3 linked regions of the Caenorhabditis elegans genome follow. The protein of the gene in region 1 interacts with the protein of each later gene in a pairwise test. Each region holds a gene or a part of one and is shown on either strand. Other genes may lie near its edges. The genes, in order: ncs-5, pkc-1 and F08G2.5.

Evidence for each region.
Region 2: the proteins of ncs-5 (region 1) and pkc-1 interact in a two-hybrid assay, tested with the Caenorhabditis elegans proteins (one large-scale study listed by BioGRID).
Region 3: the proteins of ncs-5 (region 1) and F08G2.5 interact in a two-hybrid assay, tested with the Caenorhabditis elegans proteins (one large-scale study listed by BioGRID).

Annotation. Positions count from the first base shown.
Region 1 is NC_003283.11:18,822,331-18,832,155, forward strand, and holds ncs-5 (EF-hand domain-containing protein), read left to right. Parts: upstream 1-4,411; 5' UTR 4,412-4,516; coding exon 4,517-4,618; intron 4,619-5,545; exon of another isoform or gene 5,546-5,616; intron 5,617-6,370; coding exon 6,371-6,631; intron 6,632-6,717; exon of another isoform or gene 6,718-6,788; intron 6,789-7,414; coding exon 7,415-7,558; intron 7,559-7,824; coding exon 7,825-7,984; intron 7,985-8,079; coding exon 8,080-8,198; intron 8,199-8,877; coding exon 8,878-8,958; 3' UTR 8,959-9,092; downstream 9,093-9,825.
Region 2 is NC_003283.11:12,027,873-12,035,782, reverse strand, and holds the start of pkc-1 (Protein kinase C), read left to right. Parts: upstream 1-3,651; coding exon 3,652-3,654; intron 3,655-3,706; coding exon 3,707-3,849; intron 3,850-7,898; exon of another isoform or gene 7,899-7,910. Other genes in the region: Protein kup-1, read left to right, coding at 1-50, 97-256, 1,897-2,051, 2,100-2,324, 3,226-3,456. UniProt on the Caenorhabditis elegans protein: PKC is activated by diacylglycerol which in turn phosphorylates a range of cellular proteins. PKC also serves as the receptor for phorbol esters, a class of tumor promoters. Involved in neuropeptide secretion in motor axons.
Region 3 is NC_003280.10:13,831,405-13,837,503, reverse strand, and holds F08G2.5 (WW domain-containing protein), read left to right. Parts: upstream 1-3,872; coding exon 3,873-4,409; downstream 4,410-6,099. Other genes in the region: F08G2.7 (uncharacterized protein), read left to right, coding at 666-979, 1,037-1,105; ins-37 (INSulin related), read left to right, coding at 1,843-2,002, 2,055-2,392.

The sequences.
Region 1 (9,825 bases):
GCGCCTTTTAATCACTCGAAATTATCTTGAAAAACACGAAAAAAAAATTTTGCCCACAGCGGGGGCTCGAACCACGGTCTTGTGATTGGAAGCCGGTGAAAATCCCACTGCGCCATTTGTGCAATATTTGGAGTTTATCAAAAATGACGGAAAATCAAAGAAATTAATAAAATGTGGTGGTCAAGATTACTATTTAAATTTTTAGCTTGAAAAAAAAATAACAGAAATCAGTTTTTCAATTATTTATATCAGTTTTCTATTTTTTTTTCATATTTTTGAAAATTTTTGGGGTTTAAAACTTCAAATTTAAAGTTCGCAACACTTAATTAACCTATAAACACTAAGACAAAAAGTTTTGCCACGGCGGGGGTTCGAACCCCGGTGGTGTGAGTGGTAGGCGCCGAAAATCCCACTGCGCCATTTGGACAAAAATTTTAAAAATGGCGTAAATTGGCGGAAATTAATGAAAAATGAAATTTTGTCTATACTAAACATCTTTTTCTATGTTTTGGATCAATTTTTCTCCCAATTTTTTTCGATTTTAGAACAATTATAGGTTATCCGATATGTGCTCCTCATTTCCTATTCATAAAATTGTTCTCAAGTTACCTTTCAACATTTTCTACATTTTCACACAGAAAACTCTTCAAAAAACAGAAAAAAAGAGCACCAACACATTAAGTTGTAATAGCTCCATTATAGTTGCTCCGCGGAGCAACTATTTGATGACTTTTGAAGGGAAAATGTGTTTTTTTGTTCTTTTTTAATGTTTTTTTACTGGAACATACTTAAAAATAAAGTAAAATTAGTAATATAATAATTTGAGAAAAAATAAGAAAAATATTATTTTCGAAAAAAAAATTCCAAAAATTTTTTTTTCAAAAATTTCAAAAAAAAAAAAAAAAAATTTCACTCGAATTTTTTCATTATTATTTATTTTCTACTTTTATAATTCATCATTCTAAACAATTTTTCAATCAAATAACCCAAAAAAAAACCTACAATTGCAAATTTCCAGCACCCAACGGATGTTTTCAGGCAAAAATGTGTTCTCCCCATTGGCAAGCGAACGGATACGTCGGAGGCCGAGTCAGGTATGCTAATTTGGTTATTTAGTATGTTTTAAAAATTCAAAGCTAATATTGAGAAAAAGTTAAGAGAAAAAATTTTTGCCAAAAAAAATTTTTTTTTTTGGAAATTTTTTTTTCAAATTTTACAAATTTTTGAAAAATGATTTTTTCTCAAAAACTTGATCCATTTTGTGTTATTGTTTCATTTTCACCCCAATTGTATGTTCTTTGTACCCCTTTACGTCACCCAACGGGCCGTGAAGAGGCATTTAGTTATTTATATGACTTTTCGCACCCAATTTCTGACATTCTGTATTTTTTCCAACTTGGGCGGTATTTTTAGCATGATAAGCTTAGTTTTGTTGTCAGTATAGCAAAAAAATTTGAAATAGTGAAAAATTTTTAAGTAAGAAAACTATTGTTTTTTCCACATTTTTCTAAAAACTAAATTTTCGTATTTTCTGGAACTTATTAAGCTTCAAAACCTAAAATTTTCAACTCAGCCCAGTCGGTTTGCCTTAAGAACAATAAAACAAAAAATTTTGCCACAGCGGGGACTCGAACCCCGGTTGTGTGATTGGAGGGCGCCGAAAATCCCACTGCGCCATTCAGACAAATTGTCGAAAATGGCGGAAATTGACTGAATTCGAAAGAAATGTAATATTTAAGGTAGATTTCGTAATTTTTATATATTTTGAGTTTTAAAAATGCAAAAAATATACTATTTAATATAGCATATCGGCAAAGTCAGTCATCTTTGGCCTAAAAACTTCCAAAAAGAGTGTAGTATGTATAATTTTTTTCTTGTTCCACAGACTTTTAGAGATACAACTAATAACCAATGCTACACACCACCACCACAACACCACAAAAGTCGAATAATTAATGACGCTGAAATGAGATAGAAGATGAGAACTTCTTCTTCGCTTTTTTTCTCTATTTTCGCTGCTTTTTTTCGATTTTTTGGTGTGAAAAATGTGGGAAAACGTTGATTTTAAACTAAAATAACCCAAGTTGAAACAAAAAATGTTGGGAAAAAAAAAATAATTTTAGGCCAAATTTTTGAAAAAAACATTTTTTTTCGAATTTTTTGAAAAAAATTTTCCCAAATTTCCTAAATTTTCTCAATTCATTTTCAATTTTCTAGTTTCATAACAAAGCCTAACAGATATTCCACCTCCTGTTCAATGCTCAATCGTAAATCAGAGTCCCCCTCTTTCCTCGGGGGCTCTGATTTCCGAAAAAAAAGGGTCCTATCAAATTTCACAACGTTTTGTTTCATTTCGTCTTTAAACCCGAGTGACAACATAAATTTTATGATTTTCCTGCAAATTTTTACATTTTTTAGTGTTTTTGTAACTTTTGCCCAAATGGCGCAGTGGGATTTTCGGCGACTCCCAATCACAAGACCGGGGTTCAAGTCCGCACGGTGGCAAAAATTTTTTTCCTTGTGATTTTGAGCAGTTTTACGGTTTTTTCGACTTTAAAACCTGCATTTTTTTGGTTTTAAAGGTGCAAAACTTTTAGAAAGGTCGAAATTTTGGATTCGAAATTTTTATCCGAAAATTGTGAAAATTTTATTTAAATTATTAGATTTTTAGAATTAATTTGTGAAATATGGATTGAAAACCTATTTTTCTTATTATTATCATCACTTTCCACCTTTTTTGAAATTTTCGTTTGAATGGCGCAGTGGGATTTTTGCCGGCTCCAATCACAAGACCAGGGTTCGAGTCCCCGCTGTGGTCAAAATTTTTTCTTGTGGATTTTTCGAGTAATTCAAAGATAATTAACTCGAATTTCGAGGTTTCAGACCGCAAAAAGTTTGAGAACTTGTCGAAAAGCGTCTCCCAATACTTCAAATTTCAAATTGGTTGTAGAACTGGTTTTTTTTTCATTTAAACAGAAAATTTACGCTGAAAATGTGTTTACTTGTCAATTATCCCACTTTTTAGCATTTTTCACTATTTTTGAAAATTTTGCCGAAATGGCGCAGTGGGATTTTCGCCGCCTTACAATCACAAGACCGGGGTTCGAGTCCCCGCTGTGGCAAAATTTTTTTTTTGTAATTTTCGAAAAGGTTAAGGACAATTTAAGGGTGGGGAACTTGAATTTTTGTATTTTGTCACGTTAATTTTCAGTTTTTAGAATAAAATTTTAGTTTTTTTTGTATCTTCAAAAAAATTTTTTTCCAAAATTTTTCCTATTATCAATAGAATTTAAACTTGAATTTTTGTAATTTCATACCCAAACGAGCATTCTAACCAAAAAAAGAAGACAATTCCATTTATATCTTTCCAGTTATTTTTTCTTCTATTCAATATCTCTTTTTCCCATTCCAAAAGACACGAAAAGGATATGCGTTTGGCATTTATTCGTTCTTTTTTCTCAAATTTTTGTGTCTAGTGAGTGATGTTTTCTTTTTTCGGCAAAATTTGTTTGGGCTTTCGTACTAAAAACATTGAAAAAAAAATTTTTGAAATTTTTTTTCTATATTATGAAACTTCTTTCCAAGATTTGCACAAAAACTTTAAGAAGATAAATTTTTGATAAAAGCAGCCATTTTCCGCCATTTTCGACAATTTTGTCCAAATGGCGCAGTGGGATTTTCGCCGGCTACCAATCACAAGACCGGGGTTCGAGTCCCCGTTGTGGCACAATTTTTTTTCTAGTTTTGTGAGAGCATATTAGTTGTGTAGAGCTTGAATTTACTAGTTTTAGAATTGTAAAATTTCTAGAAATAGTCGTAAATTTAGTTTCGGTTTTTTTGGTTTTTTGGGAAATGGTTTTTTTTCGAAACGCTGAAAATTAGCTTGAAAATCATATTTCCCATATAAATAATTATATTTCATGCTTGAAACGTTAATTTACTCAATTTTTGCACGACCAACATTATTGAAAAAAAGTTTCCAAATGGCGCAGTGGGATTTTCGCCGACCACCGATCACAAGACCGGGGTTCGACTCCCCGCTGTGGCCCAATTTTTTTTCCGTTTCACTTTGTTTTTTATGTGTAATTTACAGGTTCTCATCTTGAATTTCACAATTTTAAACCTTAAAAATTTGTAAAAAATCGGGAAAATTCGAAAAAATTTCAACTTTTTTTTCAAAAAAAAAAATTTTTTTTTTTCGAGATTAAAAAAAAACACAAAAACAACATTATATATGTGTTTATCTCTCTTTTTTCATCATTTCCCCTCTTATCACCATCTGATATCTCTCAATTGCTCGACCACTATCACTTGTCGTGTCAGCAGGGAGGGGGTGCCACCAGTGCCACCAGTTCTCATCTCTCAACCCTCATTTATCACTGATATCATCACTTGTCTATTACCACTATCACCTATCAGCTATATTCCAACATAAAAACAAGATAAACCCGAAAAAAAATTTTTGGAAAATTTTTTTTTGAAATTATTTTTTTGTGAAAAATGAAAAGTTAAAAAAATGGGCGGAGCCTCATCAATTGACTCGAGACGTGGCGACAGGCCAGGTCGTAAATCTACTATGTTACAGGACCAATATGAGCAAAGTCTCTATCAGATTATAGTAAGTTTAAAATATTTGAAAAAAAAAAATCGAATTTTTTTACGAATTTTAAACTAAATTATCAAGTTGTTCCAAATATTTTTGAAACCTAAAACATTGAAATTTGAGTTCAGCACCCTTGAATTACCCCAAGAACCAAAAAAAAAACTGAAAAAAAAATTTCGACCACAGCGCGGACTCGAACCCCGGTCTCATGATTGGTAGTCGGCGAAAATCCCACTGCGCCACTCGCGCAAAATTTTGAAATTTGTCGAAAATTCATAGAAAATTATGAAAAATCTTGGGTCAAAATTTTCAATTTTTTCCTAAAAAATCCAGTTTTAATACTAATTTTCCATTTTTTGAGAACATCAATTTTAAAACAAGTTGTTCCAGATATTTTTGGAATATCAAGCATAGAAAATTGAGTTTAACACCCTTGAGTTTCCCCAAAAACCAAAAAAAATCTTTTAAAAAAATTTTGCCACAGCGCGGACTCGAACCTCAGTCTCATGATTGGTAGTCGGCGAAAATCCCACTGCGCCACTTGCGCAAAATTTTCAAAAATGCTCAAAAATAATAAAATCTTGTTAAAATTCTAATTTAGCCCTTATTTTCACCTGGTTTCATCAGAAAATCCAGAGTTTTCCGTATTGATTTCCTCTAAAAATTTCCACCTGCTTTCCAATTTTCTAGCTTTCGCCATAACTTTTTTTTCATTTGTTTTATTTTCTTAGTATAAGTTTTCTGATTTTTAGGCTTGTCGGGAAAAAAATTAAAAATGGTTAGTGAATATTAAATATAGAAAAACGAAGAAAAACGAAAAAAAAAAATTGAAATAAAATTTTTACGATTTTTCACGATTTTTCTCACGATTTCAATCTGGAGACCTAAAAATTCAAATCGTACGCTATGAAAAACCACCAAAAAATCAAAACAAAAATTTTTTGCCACAACGGGGACTCGAACCCTGGTCTTGTGATTGGTAGTCGGTGAAAATCCCACTGCGCCATTTTGGCAAAATTTTGAAAAAATTTGGAAAATTACCACAATTAATGATGAAACACGTTCAAAGTTAAAATTTTAGAAAATTTACACTCAGAAATCACATTTTGAAGATATTTTTTAATATATTTAAAATTGAACTTTAAATCTAAAATGTTCAGCTTGTTCAAAAATTTTTTAGGTACTTTTCCGATTTCTGCCCCCCAAAATGTTTTCGAAAATTGCATTATTGAAACGTGAACTTTTTTGTAATTTCAGGCTTAGTATTGTTGTTTTCTAAGCCAAAAAATTAAAATACTATTGAAATAAACATTCACGTGTGAATTAAATTAAATTAAAAAATTGAAAAACATTTTGGGGGGCAGAAATCGGAAAAGTACCATTTTTTAGGCTTTAAAATTTAAAAATTCGAGCTCTCCACATTCAAAATACCATAGTACAATCAAAACAAAAAATTCGCGCCACTGCGGGGACTCGAACCCTGGTCTTGTGATTGGTAGACGACGAAAATCCCACTGCGCCATTTGGACAAAACCGTTAAAAATGCTCAAATTTCCAATTTTATTGATTTTTATCTATATCCGTATAGCTTAGGGGCAATTTTTAGTTTTTTGAAACTATTCTATTTCTCCAAAAATCCAAAAAAAAAAGGTTTTTGAAAATTTTCACCAAACTTTTTTTCTTTGTAAAAAAAAAGGTTTTTTTCCGGATTTTGATTCAATCTTGCTTTTTTTTTAAATTTTTTCACTATAACTCTGTAATTTTCAGTTCGACCGAGCCGTGCACAACGCCTACTCAGAGCCACCAAAACTATTCACCAACTCCATATTCGACACCCTCTTCCACCGCCTGTACTGGTCGATACGGGCGCTGCAATTCAAGATTTTCTACAAAAATGAAGATATGGATCTAGACGAGGTGGTGGACAAATGGGAGATCGGAGTTCAACCACCGTCGTTGGAGCAGTTGACGCAGAGGACACAGTTCAGTCCGAAATGGATAAAGTATATGTATGCGAAATTCAAAAATGTGAGGTTTTCGAGGTTTGGAATATGGAAATTTGAACTCAGCATAGTAAAATTACTCTAGAACAGGAAAACAAAAAAAAAATTTTAAGCCACAGCGGGGACTCGAACCCAGGACTTGTGATTGGTAGTCGGCAAAAATCCCACTGCGCCATTTTGGCAAAATTTTGAAAAACGCTGAAATTTATGGAAATACACAGAAAATACGTTTTCTTTGCAGTTTTTTGAAATTTTGTGGCTTTAAATTCAAAGTGTAGCACTCATTTCTAACTTTTTTCCAGTTTAAAATTTTGAACAATTTTCAACCGTTTCTGAAACTTTTCTGCGCTGAAACTTTTTTTTTTTGAATTCAGCACAGCCGAATTAGCCCAATAACAAAAAATAAAAAAATTTAAGCCACAGTGCGGACTCGAACCCGGGTGTTCAGATTGGTAGTCGGTGAAAATCCCACTGCGCCACTTGGACACTTTTTTTCGAAAAATCCTGAAATTTATTGGAATTGGTAGAAAATACGTTTTTAGGCACTGTTTCAAATTTTAGTGACTCTAAATTCCAACTTTAGAGCTAATTTCAAACTTTTTTCCAGTTTAAAATTTTGAACCCAATTTTCGACCATTTCTGAGATTTTTTCTACGCTGAAACTTAACTTTTTGAATTCGGAACCCAGAAGTTACCCCAAAACAAGAAAATAAAAATTTTTGCCACAGTGCGGACTCGAGCCCAGGTCTTGTGATTGGTAGACGGTGAAAATCCCACTGTGCCATTTTGAAAAAATTGTTTTTTTCAGGAATCACCTACCGGTAAAATGAAAGAAGAAGAATTCCGAAACCTGCTCGCCTCAATAATTGCACCGGAAAAAGCCACGGATCAGTATATTTCAAGGCTTTTTACGGCGTTCGCCGGGGTCGACAAGAAGACTATCACTTTTGAGGTAAGTTTTCTATAGGAAAATCAAATTTTTTTTATTTGAAACTGTGAAATTTGAATTCAGCGTCATTGAATTACCGTGAAAAAAACAAAATAAAAATTTTTGCCACAGTGCGGACTCGAACCCCGGTCTTGTGATTAGAAACCGGTGAAAATCCCACTGAGCCATTCGGACACTTCTTTCAAAAATGCTCCAAAATTGATTTTTAGCGCTTTTCATCAAATTTTTAAGTATTTTAAGTGAATTTTGATAAATGTTAAGTGTTTCAGAACCTTCTAGACAGCCTTTCCCATGTACAGCCTCAGACCGCCGAGACTAATGCCAAATGGACAATGAGATTGATAACTGGGGGTGGAGAAGGCGATTGTTTTGGATATTCAGCTTTTTTGGACTTTACCCAGTCAGTATTCCAGTTGAATGAAGGAAAAAGTAAGAATTTTTACAATTTTTGAACAAAAAAAATTTTTTGAATAAAAAAAAATTCTCAAATTTTTTTTTCCAAATTTTTTTGAACATTTTTTTAGGCGGAGGTGAAGAAATCAATAAGGAGTCCGTCCAGCAAAGAGCCACAAAAATATTCGCCGAACTGGATTGTGATAGGGATGGATTAGTGACCTATGACGATATGATCCGGTTCTTTCAGGTGGGTGAATTTCGAATTTTGGCTGATTTTCGTGAATTTTTGTCAAAAAATTCGGATTCTACGCAAAAATTCCGTTAATTTGAAACCCATATTGACTAGGTTTCAAACATTTTTAAAGTCTGGCCGTTTTGGGCCGGATTGGGCCGAAATAGGCCAAAATGTGAAGTTTCTACCATTTTGGGTGTTAATTTGTTTGAAAATTTAAATTTTAACAAAATTTCAATTTGTTTTCACAAAAATTGCCCATTTTCAAAATTTTTAGGTGTTTGGGCCGTTTTAGACCTAAATAGGCTTTTTTTTAGGCCAAAATCATTAGTTGCTCGGCAAACAGTTCCATGAGTTAAATTTATGTTTAGTTTTGGTTTATTTCTATCTGTGTTAACACATAAATCAAGAGTGTTGGAGTTTCAGGCTTTTCAGGCCATTTCAGGCCGAAATAGGCCCAACATTTTAGATTTTCATGACTTTATCGGTACGAACACAAATTTGACGCGTTACGGTGTTAGTATAACATTCACAATGCCTTGTTTTCACAAAATTTGTATTGTAGCCTTTTCAGGCCGTTTCAGGCCGTTTCAAGAAGCCCGAAATACAAATTTTGCGAAACCCAGTCGATATGGGTGTCAAATTAACGGAAATTTTACAAGGATTTCAAATTTTCAACTCATTTTTGTTTCAGAAAAACAACGATTCAAGCATCGGCTTCACTCCGGTCTCCCCAGCTCCGAATGGATTTGCCAACTGTGCCAAGCCTCTTTAATCGAAAAAGTGATTTAACCCTTGATATAACATTCCTTTATCTGTAGATCTCATGTTCAACTTTATTTGTGTGGTTTTTTTTCCATGCCAAAATTAAGATTTTTCAAAATTAAATAAAAATTGGTATATTTTAAAAAATTTAATTTTAAAACCGAATTTTCGACTTGACAAATCAATTTCTGAGCTTTGTAATGTTGAAATTTGGATTCTGTGTGTTTTAAATACCCCAAAAAAAAGTTAGGAAACATTTTTGCCACAGTGAGGACTCGAACTCCGGTCTTGTGACTGGATGTCGGCGAAAATCCCACTGCGCCATTTGGACACTTTTGTCAAAAAATGCCCACAGATCATTTTTTGCATTTTTTTTATAGATATATACAAAGCGTGCAAGTTTTTCAATTTGTGATGAAAAAATCAGTATTCGAAAAAAAATAAATAGACTTTTTAAATTTTAATTTTAAAACCGAGTTTTCAACTTTTCAAATCAATTTTTGAGCTTTGCAATGTGGAAATTTAGATTCAGCGTGTTTGAAATACTTCAAAAAAAATAGAGAAATTTGTGCCACAGTGGGGACTCCAACCCCGGTCTTGTGATTGGAAGCCAGCGAAAATCCCACTGCACCAGTTGGACACTTTTTTTCAAAAAATGCTCATAAATCATTTTTTTGCATATTTTATAGATATTCACAAAGCGTGCAAATTTGGCTTTTTAATGCTAAAAATCAGTAATCGAAAAAAAAAAATAAATTCACTTTTTAAATTTTAATTTTAAAACCGAGTTTTCAACTTTTCAAATCAATTGTTGAGCTTTGCAATGTGGAAATTTAGATTCTGAGTGTGTGAAATACCCCAAAACTAATTTAGAAAA
Region 2 (7,910 bases), 6.8 Mb from region 1:
AAGATAATGTTGCAATGGTCCAGTTTCAATATAGAAGAGATGTAGCAGCGGTATTTTTCTATTATTTTTTTTTGTTATTTCAATAAATTTTTTTAGATGATGTTAAATATGTCGAAGATGATGCGTCGTGTACGTGGACGTAAGAAGGCCGACGAGGAAGGTGAGGTATTGTCCGATGATGATGACGTTGAAGAAGGCCAGATTATGCAGGAAAAAGATGATGACGTCGAACTGATTGAGGATCTTAAGCCGAACGGTATGTTGATGACACAGCTGAAATTAAGAGAGAGAGAGATGTTTGAACAAGCGTCGGCTGTCAATAGGCACTGCTTTGATTATTATTATTATATTGCAAAACAGAAGAGAACTGATTGCTTTCGTTTGAAAATCAAATGCGAAAGCTGAGCACTGGTTGAATTTAGGGAGACCCAGTATACATTATTACTAATAAACAAATTTCTGCTAAGAGATACACAAAATGAGCGTATGTTTGGAATGTTTATAGCTTTCTCAATTTTGGTCGAAATAAATGAAAGAAGAATGTAACTTTAATTTCAATAGATCTATATAAAATATTTTATGATAGAAATTAATCAGTATGTATCGCCTACGCATTCTCATTGGTCCTACTCTACATTCATATGCAAAACAAATTAAAAAGAATAATAGTACTCGAAAAAGAATGGAGAGTGTGTTGTGTTAGTTTAATGTTTCTATCTCAATCCGTCATTCTGACGGTTAATAATACCGCTTACATTGTCATTATTAGTTTTCCCCTTTCTACTACTACTACACAGTTGGGTCGTTGTTCACACCGTATCCAATCGAGAGGATAACCCCTTTCTACTACTTCTCTGTCATATAGTAGATCGCGTCGATATGTTTGTATGTTCTTTTGTCGTCGATCCTTCTCGATTGACGATTGACCGACGCGTGTTATGTTTCCCATTCTGTTTAGGGGAGAATCGACCCGTTGTTTTGAAATGGAGCAGTCACCAGTAGCCGCACAATGAAGTAACAGGATACTGGGTCAACTCGCATCATTCACTTCCCTACAATGTCGAGCAATGTGTAACCTAGATGATCTGATTTAGGGATCATCATGTGTATTTCAGATACAGAATTATTATATTAAAATTTAAATATGAAGCAGCTTAATTTGGAATTTTGCTTAGGAAAATCAAAAATGTCACAGATGCAGAAATACCACAGAAGAAAAACATAAAAATCCCAAAATAATGGAAAATCCTTCTATTAAGAAAAACGCTATTTTAAATTTCAGAACTTCCTGTATGAATTCCCTCTAAAATAAGAGGACTCGCCCACTTGCGGGTCAATCAGAAATTTTGATCACCACGCAATCCGTCTAATTGGTTTAAAAGTGGGCCGAGCGAATCGCTGATTGGTCGCAATTCTTATTTTGGAGGGAATTCAAACAGGGAATGTAACATCGCGTTTTTTTTTCAAAGTAGGATATTCATTATTTCACGATTTTTTATTCGTGTTTCCTTTCTGGTGTTTCTGAATTTGAGACTTTTTTGGATTTTCCTAAGCAAAATTCCACGCTACTCCACCTTTAAAAAATATACTTATCTCCCCTAACTTTGATAATATTGTTTTCCATACTCATCCACATAATCATATTAAAATTGTCCAATAAAAGACCTCCCATCAGAGGTGTCGTAGATGAGCACGAGGGTAAATATAGAGTTGATGGGAGGACAATGAGTATGGTGTGGATGAACGGATGTAATCGAGTTTGCTTATGCGATTATTCTGCTTTTGACATTTCATTCTTTATTATGAGGCTTGAGTAGGCAAACAAGCAACTAGTCTTCAAATCTTTGATGAAGAAAAATAGATCAGAAGATCTTAATAATTTCAAAATGTTTTCAGAAAAAGGAATCGTCGCAAGTGAGAAGAACAACGAATTTATTACTGTAGACATAAATGCTCGCGAGGTTCCAAATGGAAAATGGAGAGTATTAACAAAACACGTTCCAGCCAACATGTTCGTCATTATTCGATATGCAACGACGGATGAATATCAGGTTGAAAATGAATTTACTATAAAAAAAAACAAATGTTTCCTATTTAAGACAATGGTAACATCAGATCGGAGTCAAGTTAAAAAGACCGGCGTAAAACGTGGAAATGATTCGTTTTGGACACATGAGTCATCAAATCGTGGAGGATTGAATGTATTCGATAAAGAAGGAAAAGAACTCGAATGGGATTATGAGCATGATACAAGATTTTACAACGAAGATAAAAATGAGGAGAAAGTCGAGAAAGTGAAACTTCCACAGGGAATCAAAATTAAAGTGAGTTTTTGAATTCAAATAATTCATTAACGGTAGAGTAGATTCGATTTGGAATTTGCTTTAAATTATAGAAAATGAATCATAATGTAACAGAATATAACTGTTAAAAAAATGTTTAAGATTTTATTTTCACTTTTGCAAAAATTTGAAAATTGGCTAATTATTTTTGAATTCCCACGCAAGTTAATGACCTAGTTTTGACATTTCGGCGTTTTCTGGTTAAATTAATTAGGGTTAATAGTTTCTCTTCTCAATATTTCAGATTAAAAAACACTAAAGAAGTTTCTGCGAATTTCTTTCATTAAGTTAAGTTCATTTTCTTGCGCGGAAATTCAAAAATAATTAGCCCATTTTTATGATTTGCAAAATTGAAAATATCATTAAAAAAATTTAGAAAAAATTATATAATTTTTTAGCAATTATTTTCAGTCATTACAGAGAAGGAATATGCAAAAGAAGTGATGAAATTTGTAGAATGTTCCTATTTTGTAGATTTTTTAGTTTCAGCAGGTATTCAACATTAAACTCGATTTGCTTTTTTAAATGGTTATTTATGATATCTCATCGTTCCTGCAGTACCTTAGTTCTAGAATATTTCAAAAATCAGATTTATTTAAATTTAATTTCAAATACCATATTTCTTTTATATTGTTAATTTCCCAAAAGTATTGCGGTTTTTATGTAGAGATTCGATCAAATTGTTTTGATTATTGTGTCACAAAGATAGTAGTTATATGTTTTTTTCTGCAAATTACGAAAAATTAATGTGAATACTAAAACGGTCTAGTTTTTGAGTGGATCTCTCAACAAAACATAGTTAACTGAAGAAATGCATTATTTATGATCTTATATTTTTCACAAAATACTCACAAACTCTAAAATGTTATAAAATAATTTTCAGGGTCGAGGAGCTGTGAAATGCGGATTTCTTTTCGGCGAGGGAAGTAGTTCGTTAGCTTCTGATGACACCACTCCAGTCAAGAAACGGAGAACTGATGAAAAAGATTACGAAAAGGATGATATCGTATCACGGCAAGGGTCTTCTGCACACGCCATACGACCTGGAAGAGTTGAACGTCCAATTCGAGAACGGATTCAATTTCCTGGAAGAGAAGATCCAGATGAATATTAACAATATCTCACCACAAACTGTATTTGTTTTTTTAATTTCTCACAATGACCAGATAAATTTATTTGTTTCCATGTTTTGTTATGTATTTTATTTTCTATGAAGCTGTCGGTCGCTTCTATTATACTTTGATCCAGACGATCTTATTCTCAAAACTTACCATTTTTTCAGTAATTTCACGGGTCAATATGTCATAAAATGGTAAGGAGCATGACAAACTGACAAGCAAAAGAATGTTAAATTTTTATTTCAGAAATTCTTCAGTAGTCGGACAATATCATCTGGAGGATTTTGGGGTAAAAATAAGAATAAATACGCGTTGAATGGAAAAGTTTCACCAAAGGATTCAGTGTTGTTAAGGAAGAGGAGGAAGATTATATCAAGACGGTATCGCAGGTTAGTTTTTAATTTATTTTATAAAACTGGGAAATTCTTTGCAAATTTTTTCCGCATAGTTTCCACAGAAAACAATGATTTAGTCAATATCGGTGTTCTTCCTGATTTCTCTCGCTTTCCTGAATGTCTCGCTTTGTTTCAAAAATCTTTTGAAATTCGTTTGTAGTCAAAAAGTGGCAAAAACTCAGTTTTCGCCTAACATCATTTTCGAAGTCGATCAAAAATTCTCTCGTACGAGTTTATATTTTAATTGCGTTAGAATTGTTCGTATTTGAACATTGTAAATTTTAGACCTTGTAGGAATGTTTACAATTTCTCAAAAATCCAACAAAATTGGCAATTTACCAAAAACTGTGGATGGGAATTTTTGAAGTGTTTAATTGTGATATTTGGCCATGTTAGACTAGTATAAGTGTATTTAGGTAAATTCCTCACTGAAAATGTTCCAGCTTTTTTAATCAATTAGAAAGTAATTTTGGAATTTGGCTCAGTAGCTCTTACTGTGTATCATGGCCCGACATCTACCGGGTTGCGCCACTTCTGTGTGTTTTCGAAAAGATTCGCGGAACCCGGTAAATGTCGGACCATTAGTATATAGTAAGACACACTCATTTTTAAGACCCCTCTTTTAATTTAAATATTTTTCCATTGCTTCTTGAGAATCTGAATTTAAATATCTTTCGCTAATCTGAAATTTAAGCGCAGGTGAAATTTTTCGTGAGTATCGTGTTGAATTAAGTGAAAAACGTTATCACCTGTTTCTGCCAAACACTCAAAAATGGTGATAATTGTAATGAGGCAAACTCCAATTTATAATTAAATTTCTCATAGAGAACTATTGTTATAAGTTTATAGAACTATAGTATTTATCTCGTAAATTTGGATAATTTGCAAAGATTGTAAGAACAATTTAGTTTCATAATGAGATAATACAATTTTTGTTACGTTCTCGATCTGTAATTTCTCTCATCTCATCCGGATAAATGAAATAAGAGGAAAACCGATTCAAAGACGACGTCCAACGTAAATTTGCTTCCTTCATTTCTTTTTCTCCCCATAACTGAGAGTTTTGTGCATAAAAAAGTAGCTGTTGAAAGGCGCAATTCGAAGAAAAATGCGAGAGGGAAACAAGCTGTTGCTCTCTTGCTCTTTCTTTTTTCCTTTCTCACTTCCTTTAGATCTTGTTCGTTCAGTTAGCTCCCAGCCTCTCTCTCTCTCTCTTCCGATTCACTTCACTCACTTAAAAATGTATTCATATGTACCATAAAACTATTTTTCGTCACACTAAATGCAGCCCATGCGCTGAACTTTTTGCAACTTCACACTCAAAATTCTCTTTTTTTTTTGTTCTCGTCATCAGTTTTTCGCCGCTGGCTCTACCGGAATCTCTCGATGAAAAGATTTTTTACTTCGAGTATAGTGAGCTCCCTTTTCTTTTCTATTTTAGCTTAAGGCGGCGGCAAATTCTGTATACAAAATAGAGACGCATAGAGAAATGCAAAAAAGGAAGAAGAGGAGCGGCAAAAATGCAGATTTTTCTCATCAACTGCTCGTGAGACCGAGCATTCAAGCATCACATTTGTTGAGATGGTCACGGTGTTGAAATACTTTTTTTTGTTGTTATATCGAGATAGAGTTGTATACAGAATGGAAATTAATCTGATATTTAGAATAAAAAGTGCTAGTTTTTAGTCAATTTTACGTTGTTCTGATTTATTACATCGACGATCCTTGATGCCAAACTAGAGATTTTCGAATGTGCATTGGGCAAAATATCTCGTAGCGAAAACTACAGTAATTCTATGAATGTGTCGATTTATGGCCTCGATTTTTGAAATGAATTTATTTTCAAACAGTAAGTAACATCGATATTCCCATTTCTTTTGTTTCTTCGGATTGTTTTCTTTTTATTTTGCTTAATTAAAAAAAACTATCGATAAATTAATGATTTTAATTCATTTCAAATATCGAACCCGTAAATCGACACAAGGGCTACAGTAGTCATGTAAAGAATTACTGCAGATTCCGCTACGAGTTATTTTGCGCGTCAAATATGTTGTTCAATACGCATTCTCAGAATTTTGTGTTCCAGTAATACTAGGAGCGAAAAAAAGCACAATGTAAAAAAACAACTTGTGTGCCTTGTTTCCCGCTAGAAATATATAGTAAATACGCTTTCGATCCAATTCCTACGATATTTGTTTGACAGCCGGGTGTTCGTTGTCATTGTTGCAGAAACAAACGCCCACTGGCCAGCACTCGTCATAGTATTCGAAAAGTTTTGGGAATTAGAACATTTTTTTCGATTGCTATCTCTCTGAAACGCAGGTACCGGTCTAGGTGTCGGAATTATTCAAATCACTTCAACCATCACCACCATCATCATCACTGTTTGAGTGCGACAGTACACATTCTATTATTGCAACGGATTTTATTTGCCAGTCAATTAAAAAAAAAATTCACTCAACAGTTATTTTAAGATCACTGTCAATCTCAATAGTTCTGATTAGTACTTATTGAGTTTTTTGGCACTGTATTTTAAATATGATCCTTTAAAAAAAGGGAAAACTGTAAAATTATTATGATTCGAAATTATAATTATATGGTTTCTCAGAAGTGCAATGTATAAATTGTCAAGTACGAGTTATATCTAGTTATGGTAAGTTTATCTGATTATACAAGATCACTGAAATTTGTAGAATAATAGGTATTACGATAACATTCATTTTTTACTAGCTAACATTATGTATGTTTCTGCACAAAACATTAGTATTACGCATACAAAGACATTTTTCGGTGAAGTGTTCTCAAAAACTTTTTTTGCTAGGAAACAGTATCCATGAAACAAGTGAAGCGCGGCGCGGAGTAATGCTGGGCTCCGACATTTTGTTAGCTTTCTTTAGACTCAAGTAAGCACAAACTATTCAATTCTATCACATCTGCGAATACTCACTATTTTTGTAATGAATTTTCTCAATTTCAAAAGGAAGAAACTAGGAAAATCATCAGAGATTTCAAATATGACTCCGAGAAAAAATATATTCATGTAGGTTTCTATGTTCGTTTTGTGGTTTTCTTTTGCGTTGGTTCGAACGTTCAAAGATCCTTTGTTCATCTAAACTGATCCATTCACTAGCACCAATTGCTGGTCCGTAGTCCCTTTTTCTCATGGACGTCCAATGTAACTTTTTTCTTTTTTATTTTTCAAACTGCGCGAAAACACGGACTCATTTCTGTTTCCCTCTCTTTCTCTCTCTTAAATATACACTCACACATATACACATCCACATATACTCGATTTTCCACGTCATTGGGTTTAGCTGAAAAGATGGGCTCTCTTCTGTCCTTCGAGGAAGAGCATTTTCATAATCTTATTCGTCTTCAACTTTACTTTTGATCTTTAAGAACAAAAACAACAGTCTGTTAAGTATATTGATATATTGTGTGTTTTTTAAAACATAGGTATACGAAATTCGTTCTTTTATCGTTGATCCCATTGCATATTGTTCACACCTCCTCTTACTTCATTTCCGGGTAGATCAGCACAGGATTAATGTACACAACGACTGCGACTCTTTTCAAATAGTCGCCCTTGTTGTCATCGACGTCGTTGGTCGTCAATGACGGTCGCGTCATCGTGGCTTTAGAATCAAATTGTTGGAATACTATGGATCTCATATGTAGATGATATCTCTTTCTCCCCCATCCTCAACGAGTTCCAAAATATCTATCAAATTGGATGAGTTTTCACCGGATGTATCAAGTAGGAAAAGCTTTTAGCCTTTAATTTCTAACGCTGGAGACGTTAGAGTCTTTAAAATTAGTTCATCGTTTAATTTATAAAATTCTTAATTCTAAAATTTTTGGAGCTATTCTTCTCAAAGATATTCCGTTGTTCAACATTGAGACATGTTATTACTGATATTTCCAATATACTAAACGAGTCATATAAATCTTTTCTTTCAATTGACCATTTTATTAAGACGGATTATACGTGTACTAACCCTTTCACTGGGTTCATTCATTTCCATGCTAGGCGCGCGTGCCTCACACGACCAGTA
Region 3 (6,099 bases), on another chromosome or scaffold:
TTTTGCCAAAAATGTCAAAATTTGGTTGTAAAATTTGCTCAAAAAATGCCGAAATTTGACAGAAAATTGTGCTCAAAAAATGTCAAAATTTGGCCTAAATTTAGGCCAAATACTTTAAAGTTAAAATTTGGCTGGAAATTTTTCTCCAAATCGACGATTTTTCAGATAATTTTCACGTGTAGCTCCGGTTAAAAGTTAAACATTAAAATCTTCCCTAACAAATTTTGCTCAAAAATGTCAACATTTGACTGAAAACATGGCTCAAAAATGTCGAAATTTGGATGGAAATTGTGCTCAAGAATATCAAAATTTGGTTGAAAATTTTGCAATTGCGCTCCAAAAATGTCAAAATTAGGCTTAAAATATTGCCCAAAAATACCAAAAATTGGCTCAAAATATTGCTCCAAATCGACGTTTTTTCTAAAAAATTTCACGTGTAGCTCCGGTTAAAATTTGAAATTTCAATTTTCCCTAACAATGATGCTCAAAAATGTCAAATTTTGCATGAGAGTATTGCTCAAAAACGGCAAAATTTGGCTTAAAATTTTGCTCCAAATCGACGATTTTTCTGAGAATTTTGCTCAAAACTTTTGAAATTTGGCTAGAACTTTTGCTAAAAATGTCGAAATGTTTGCACTTTTTTCTTCAATTTTCCCATTTTCCAGGCGAATCCCTAGTCCCAGCAAGTGACGTCAGCTACCTGGCTCCACTTGTTCCGGCTCCGCCAACCCTTCCACTTCTAGAACTCAATACATCTCAAGGCCCATCAACTTCTGGAATTTCACAGCAAAATCCACAACAATCGAGCTCAAGCTTCTTCCATGATGATGATGAAGATCAGGATGAGACGAAGAACTTCCGTGATGAGGAAATCGAGTCTCCAAGGTGTCATGGCTCGACGAGCACACTGAAAAATGATGAAGAAGCTGCTGAGCTCTCGGATTTCCTGAGTAAATCCAATTTGACAACTCTTGAAGAGGTGAGTTTTGGTGGAAATTTAAAATTTTCCGCTTGAAACAATTATAATTACTTTCAGGGCAAGGACTCCGGCTTCAGCACGACTCCAGACGACGCCAAAGAGCCCGAAAAAGTTGCAGCTAATTAATAACGTTTCCCCAACAGTTTCTCCCCCCGATTACACGTGTAAAAATCCTATGGACTTTCGAAATTATTCACTTCACCGAGTTCTAATATTTAATTTATTGATTTTTCTTTGAACTTTTCATATTTTAATTAATTTATTATATAAAGATTTTTAATTAATTCAAAGACATACCTAATTGTCTTTCTTTTCTAGGCCACGAAACAAAGAGTGCTCCACGCGCACCCACGAGTTGTCGGTACACAGCTCCCCACTACCCCTACCCTCTCCTCCATTCAGTATCGCTTCTTCGGCTTATTAGCTAAGATCAAAGTGTAGTATCTGTTCTTATCGTATTAACCTACGGTATACACTCGAATGAGTGTAATAAAGGTTATATGATTTTTGGAACCTAGGGAAGACTCGGGGCTTGCTCCGACTTCCCAAGGGTCGTCCTGGCGTTGCACTGCTGCCGGGCTCGGCCCAGTCCCCGAGGGGACAAAATAAGCTTGCAGAATAGTGAAAAATCAATTTTCAAAAAATAAAGTATAGTTGTTAAATAGACATTCAATTTTAACTTGGCCTTTAAAAACTATAAGAAAAGTCACTCAACTTATTCCCAAATTGACACTCCACGTAAAAGACGTGACCCATAGGTCATAATTGTAAGCATTTCCCTCCCCCCCCCCCACTCAAAATCGAAAACAAAATAAGAATCATACCTCAACTCTCATCCCGAACCGGATAGACGATTGAACACCATGGCTGCTTTCCTGCCAATTGCCTTGAGCATTGCTATGCTCACCGTGCTCACCAATGCCAATCCAATTCACCCGGTCCCAAATGCGGCCTTCCTTCCCTATCGTTCCTGTGGATCCCATCTTGTTCATCGCGCTTTTGAAGCTTGCAGTGGGAAGAAAGGTATGTTATTATATCATTCTTAGCAGGTTAAAACCGAATCATCGCTTTTCAGATCGCAGCAGTGATGTGGATCTTTGGAAGATGTGCTGCAAGGACGAGTGTACCGATCTGGACATCAAGGAGTCTCTGTGCAAGTACGCTTCGCAAGGATATGGAGTAAAGTTTGAGGAGGAAGCCGAAGAAATCGATATGGTCAGCTTTGCGGCGGAGGGTTTTAAAAAGAGCTGTGGACATGATATTGTTGTGAAGACAGTCAATGTACCGACGAAAATATCATTGAAGCAATGTGCCCGAACAAGGGGGTGGCGCCGGCGGCGGCCTAGAAGAATCCCGGACAAGTTCAATCGAGTGCAAAACTATGCCTGTATTAATTGTGTAAAAATAAAGTAATGTATGTATAATATATGTGGATTTGAATTACTAGCGCAAAATTTTAACTGATTTCACAACTATTGCAAGTGCGCTCCATTGAAACGCCACTTATCAACACACCGTCGTCCACTTAACAGACCGTTGGTATATATACTCTGTTGATAGAAGGTTTTTTATCAGGCATAGGTCCGGAGTCGGTGGGTTATCTGAAGAAACCACCCCATCGGCAACAACTTGACTTCCTGTTTTGCATTGTTGGAATTTGGTGGGCAAGTTGATTAGAAAGAAACGTTTAATTTTAGTTAGGCATTTTTCAATTAAATTCGAAAAATAATAAAAATTACAGAAACAAAATAAGATTTCGTATATATAGGCTTGAAATGCAGATTTTTTAAAATAGATTTTTTCAAATCATTAGTCAATTTTTTACCCAAAAAATTACACCTTACATAAAGTTGTTTGACACAGTCTCCTAATTATCGAATTGCGGTGGAGCGCATTTTGTACACTACTAGAGACCCAGAGAAACCCACCACCATTCCTCGAGAAACGTCCACCGCTTGCATTGCCTCTAGTATATATACTTCCTCCTCCCCAACAGTTTTCGAATTCCTGCGGTCCGGATCGTATGGGTTATCAATTCTCAACCACCCCATACGAACTAACTTGACTACCGGAATTTTGCAATTTTTGATAAAAATTACTTGTTTTTGTAGTATGCAAATTAAATATAAAATTTATTATTATTTGTATTTTTTTAAAAATAAATTCGTGTGTCAATAATGAGTTTCTATTTTTGAAACTTTAAAGCACGACAAAGATGGGTCCTGCTGCGCAAAATACAATTTTAGGACGTTTTTTATATAAATTTATAGCATAAATTTTACTATAGAGATATAAGAGCTATGAATTCAAAAATGTTCTCCTTCTAGAGTTATGTAATTGCCCCAGTTTTGCCGGAAATTTCAATTCCGGCAATTTTACGATTTACCGGAAATTTCAATTCCGTCAATTTGCCGGTATGCCACAACTCCAATTCCGGCAATTTGATGATTTGTCGGAAATTTTAAATTTTGTCACTTTGCCGGTATGCCGAAAATGTCCAATTCCGGTAACTTTCAAGTTTGCCGGAAAATTTCAATTCCGCAATTTGCCGATTTGCCGGAAATTTTCAATTCCGGCAATTTTCCGATTTGCCGGAAAAAAAATTTGCAAAAAAATTTGCAAATTCCTTACTTTTTGACCTCTGAAAATTGCGGGAAACATAGACTTCTATGTACTTCCAGAAATGTTCTGTGTGACCCCAATTTTCGGAGATCAAACGGCAAGGAGTTCTCCTCAAATTTGGCAATACTACACACATATCGTCATCAATATTTGCCCACCTTATCAAAGTCATGACTAATTTCGAAACTCTTCGAAATAATTCGAAACTATTCGTCAACAAAACCCACCTATAAAACCAGCACCTCTCACCTTGAAGAGCATCTCATTTACAATGAGAAAGCTCAGCACTCGTCCACTTCCTCTTGGAGACGGATTCTTCGACTCGTCATCTGATAGTTCAGAATCTGAACTTTCAGATAAGGACGATGAAGATAGATATTCCGACTCCACGGTTTCCACGTTAACTTCTCAAGATCGTAGAGACACCCAAGGGTGTCAATATCCACGTTCTTCGGAACTTCCGATCTCTGAATCTCCAGCTCCACGAGCTCGACGAGCTCGTAAACAGAGATCGAAGAGAAAGTCGGTGAAACCTCCGAACACTTCGTCTGACGACTCTTCTGATGACTCTGATGATTCTTCCTCGTCCTCTTCTTCCGATGACTCGGTGAGTTCTAAATCATCAACCAATTCCAGTGACTCCTCGCCATGCCGTTGTCGAGATGGGCTTGCCGAGTGGGAGCAGCGTCATGGGAGACGATGGCATCCGTATGGAAGAAATGGAACGTGGGAACCATACCGCAATCGTCGTCGCGGGATCTATGATTGTGAGAACTCGCCGAGAGAAACTTATTCGAATGGAGCTTGAATTTTTAAATGTAAATATTTGTTTTTAGTTTAATTGTATTCTATTTCATTTTTGGTATCCTATATCTTGGTTTAAATAAGTGATATCGAAAAGTGTTCAACTACAAAATTATTGAAAAAGGCATCAGCAATATTTTGTTTGTTGGTAGTTTTTCGATAAATCTTAAAACAACCGGGATATGACCATTTAAGTGTGTTGTCTATTTATTGTTGTGTAAAAATAAATAATTTGTATTTTTCGAATTTGTGTTTTGTTCTTTATTATTAAATTAAAAAACCAAATAATAAGAAAGAGGTCATATAAAACTGTTGCCGGAATTAAAATTTCCGGCAAATCGGAAAATTGCGGGAATTGAAACTTCCGACAAATTGGAAAATTGCCTGAATTGAAATTTCTGGCAAATCGGCAAAATTGCCGGAGGATTGAAATTTCCGACTAATCAGAAAATTGCCGGAATTGAAATTTCCGGAAAATCGGTGAACCGGCAAAATTGAAAATTTCTGACAAATCGCCAAATTGCCGGAATTGAAATTTCCGGAAAATCGGTGAACCGGCAAAATTGAAAATTTCTGGCAAATCGCCAAATTGCCGGAATTGAAATTTCCGATAAATCAGCAAATTGCCGGAATTGAAGTTTCCGGAAAATCGGTAAACCGGCAAAATTGAAAATTTCTGACAAATCGCCAAATTGCCGGAATTGAAGTTTCCGGAAAATCGGTGAACCGGCAAAATTGAAAATTTCTGGCAAATCGCCAAATTGCCGGAATTGAAGTTTCCGATAAATCAGCAAATTGCCGGAATTGAAATTTCCGGAAAATCGGTAAACCGGCAAAATTGAAAGTTTCTGGTAGTTCGCCAAATTGCCGGAATTGAAATTTCCGGAAAATAGGCAAGTTGCCGGAATTGAAGTTACTGATAAATCAGCAAATTGCCGGAATTGAAATTTCCGATAAATCAGCAAATTGCCGGAATTGAAATTTCCGGAAAATCAGCGAATTGCCAGAATTGAAATTTCCGGAAAATAGGCAAGTTGCCGGAATTGAAATTTCTGATAAATCAGCAAATTGCCGGAATTGAAATTTCCGGAAAATAGGCAAGTTGCCGGAATTGAAATTTCTGATGAATCAGCAAATTGCCGGAATTGAAATTTCTGGCAAGTCGGTAAACCGGCAAATTGCCGATTTGCCGGAAAAACGGAAATTGTCGAAAATTTTCGGCAATTTGTGGTTTTGCACATTTTTTTAAATTTCAGAACTTCAATTTCAGCCGGCAAAATTTTACGCATCCTGTAAATGTTCCTACACCTTTTTTAAAAAGTAAGAAAAAAAAACGGGAAAAAAATTTCAAAAAAGCACAGTTTTCAGTGTTTCCGTCTTATAAAAAAGCCCTCTAAAAACTTCCGGCAAATTGATATCCGGCAAACGGCAAATCGGCGATTTGCCGGAAGTTATCATTTCGGGCAAATCGGCAAACCGACAATTTGTCGACTTGCCGAATTTGTCGAAAAAAATTTTTCCGCACTGCAATTTGCTGTAGGCTCCAAATTTTTAATTTTTTATCGGTTACAGTTTACCTGAATATATTTAAAGATAGAAATATATGTTACAGTGTTCAATATTCTATTCGATTTCGGTTGTGATTTGCTTCAGTTATGCAAAACAGAGGTGTGCGGCAAATTTGACAAATTTGC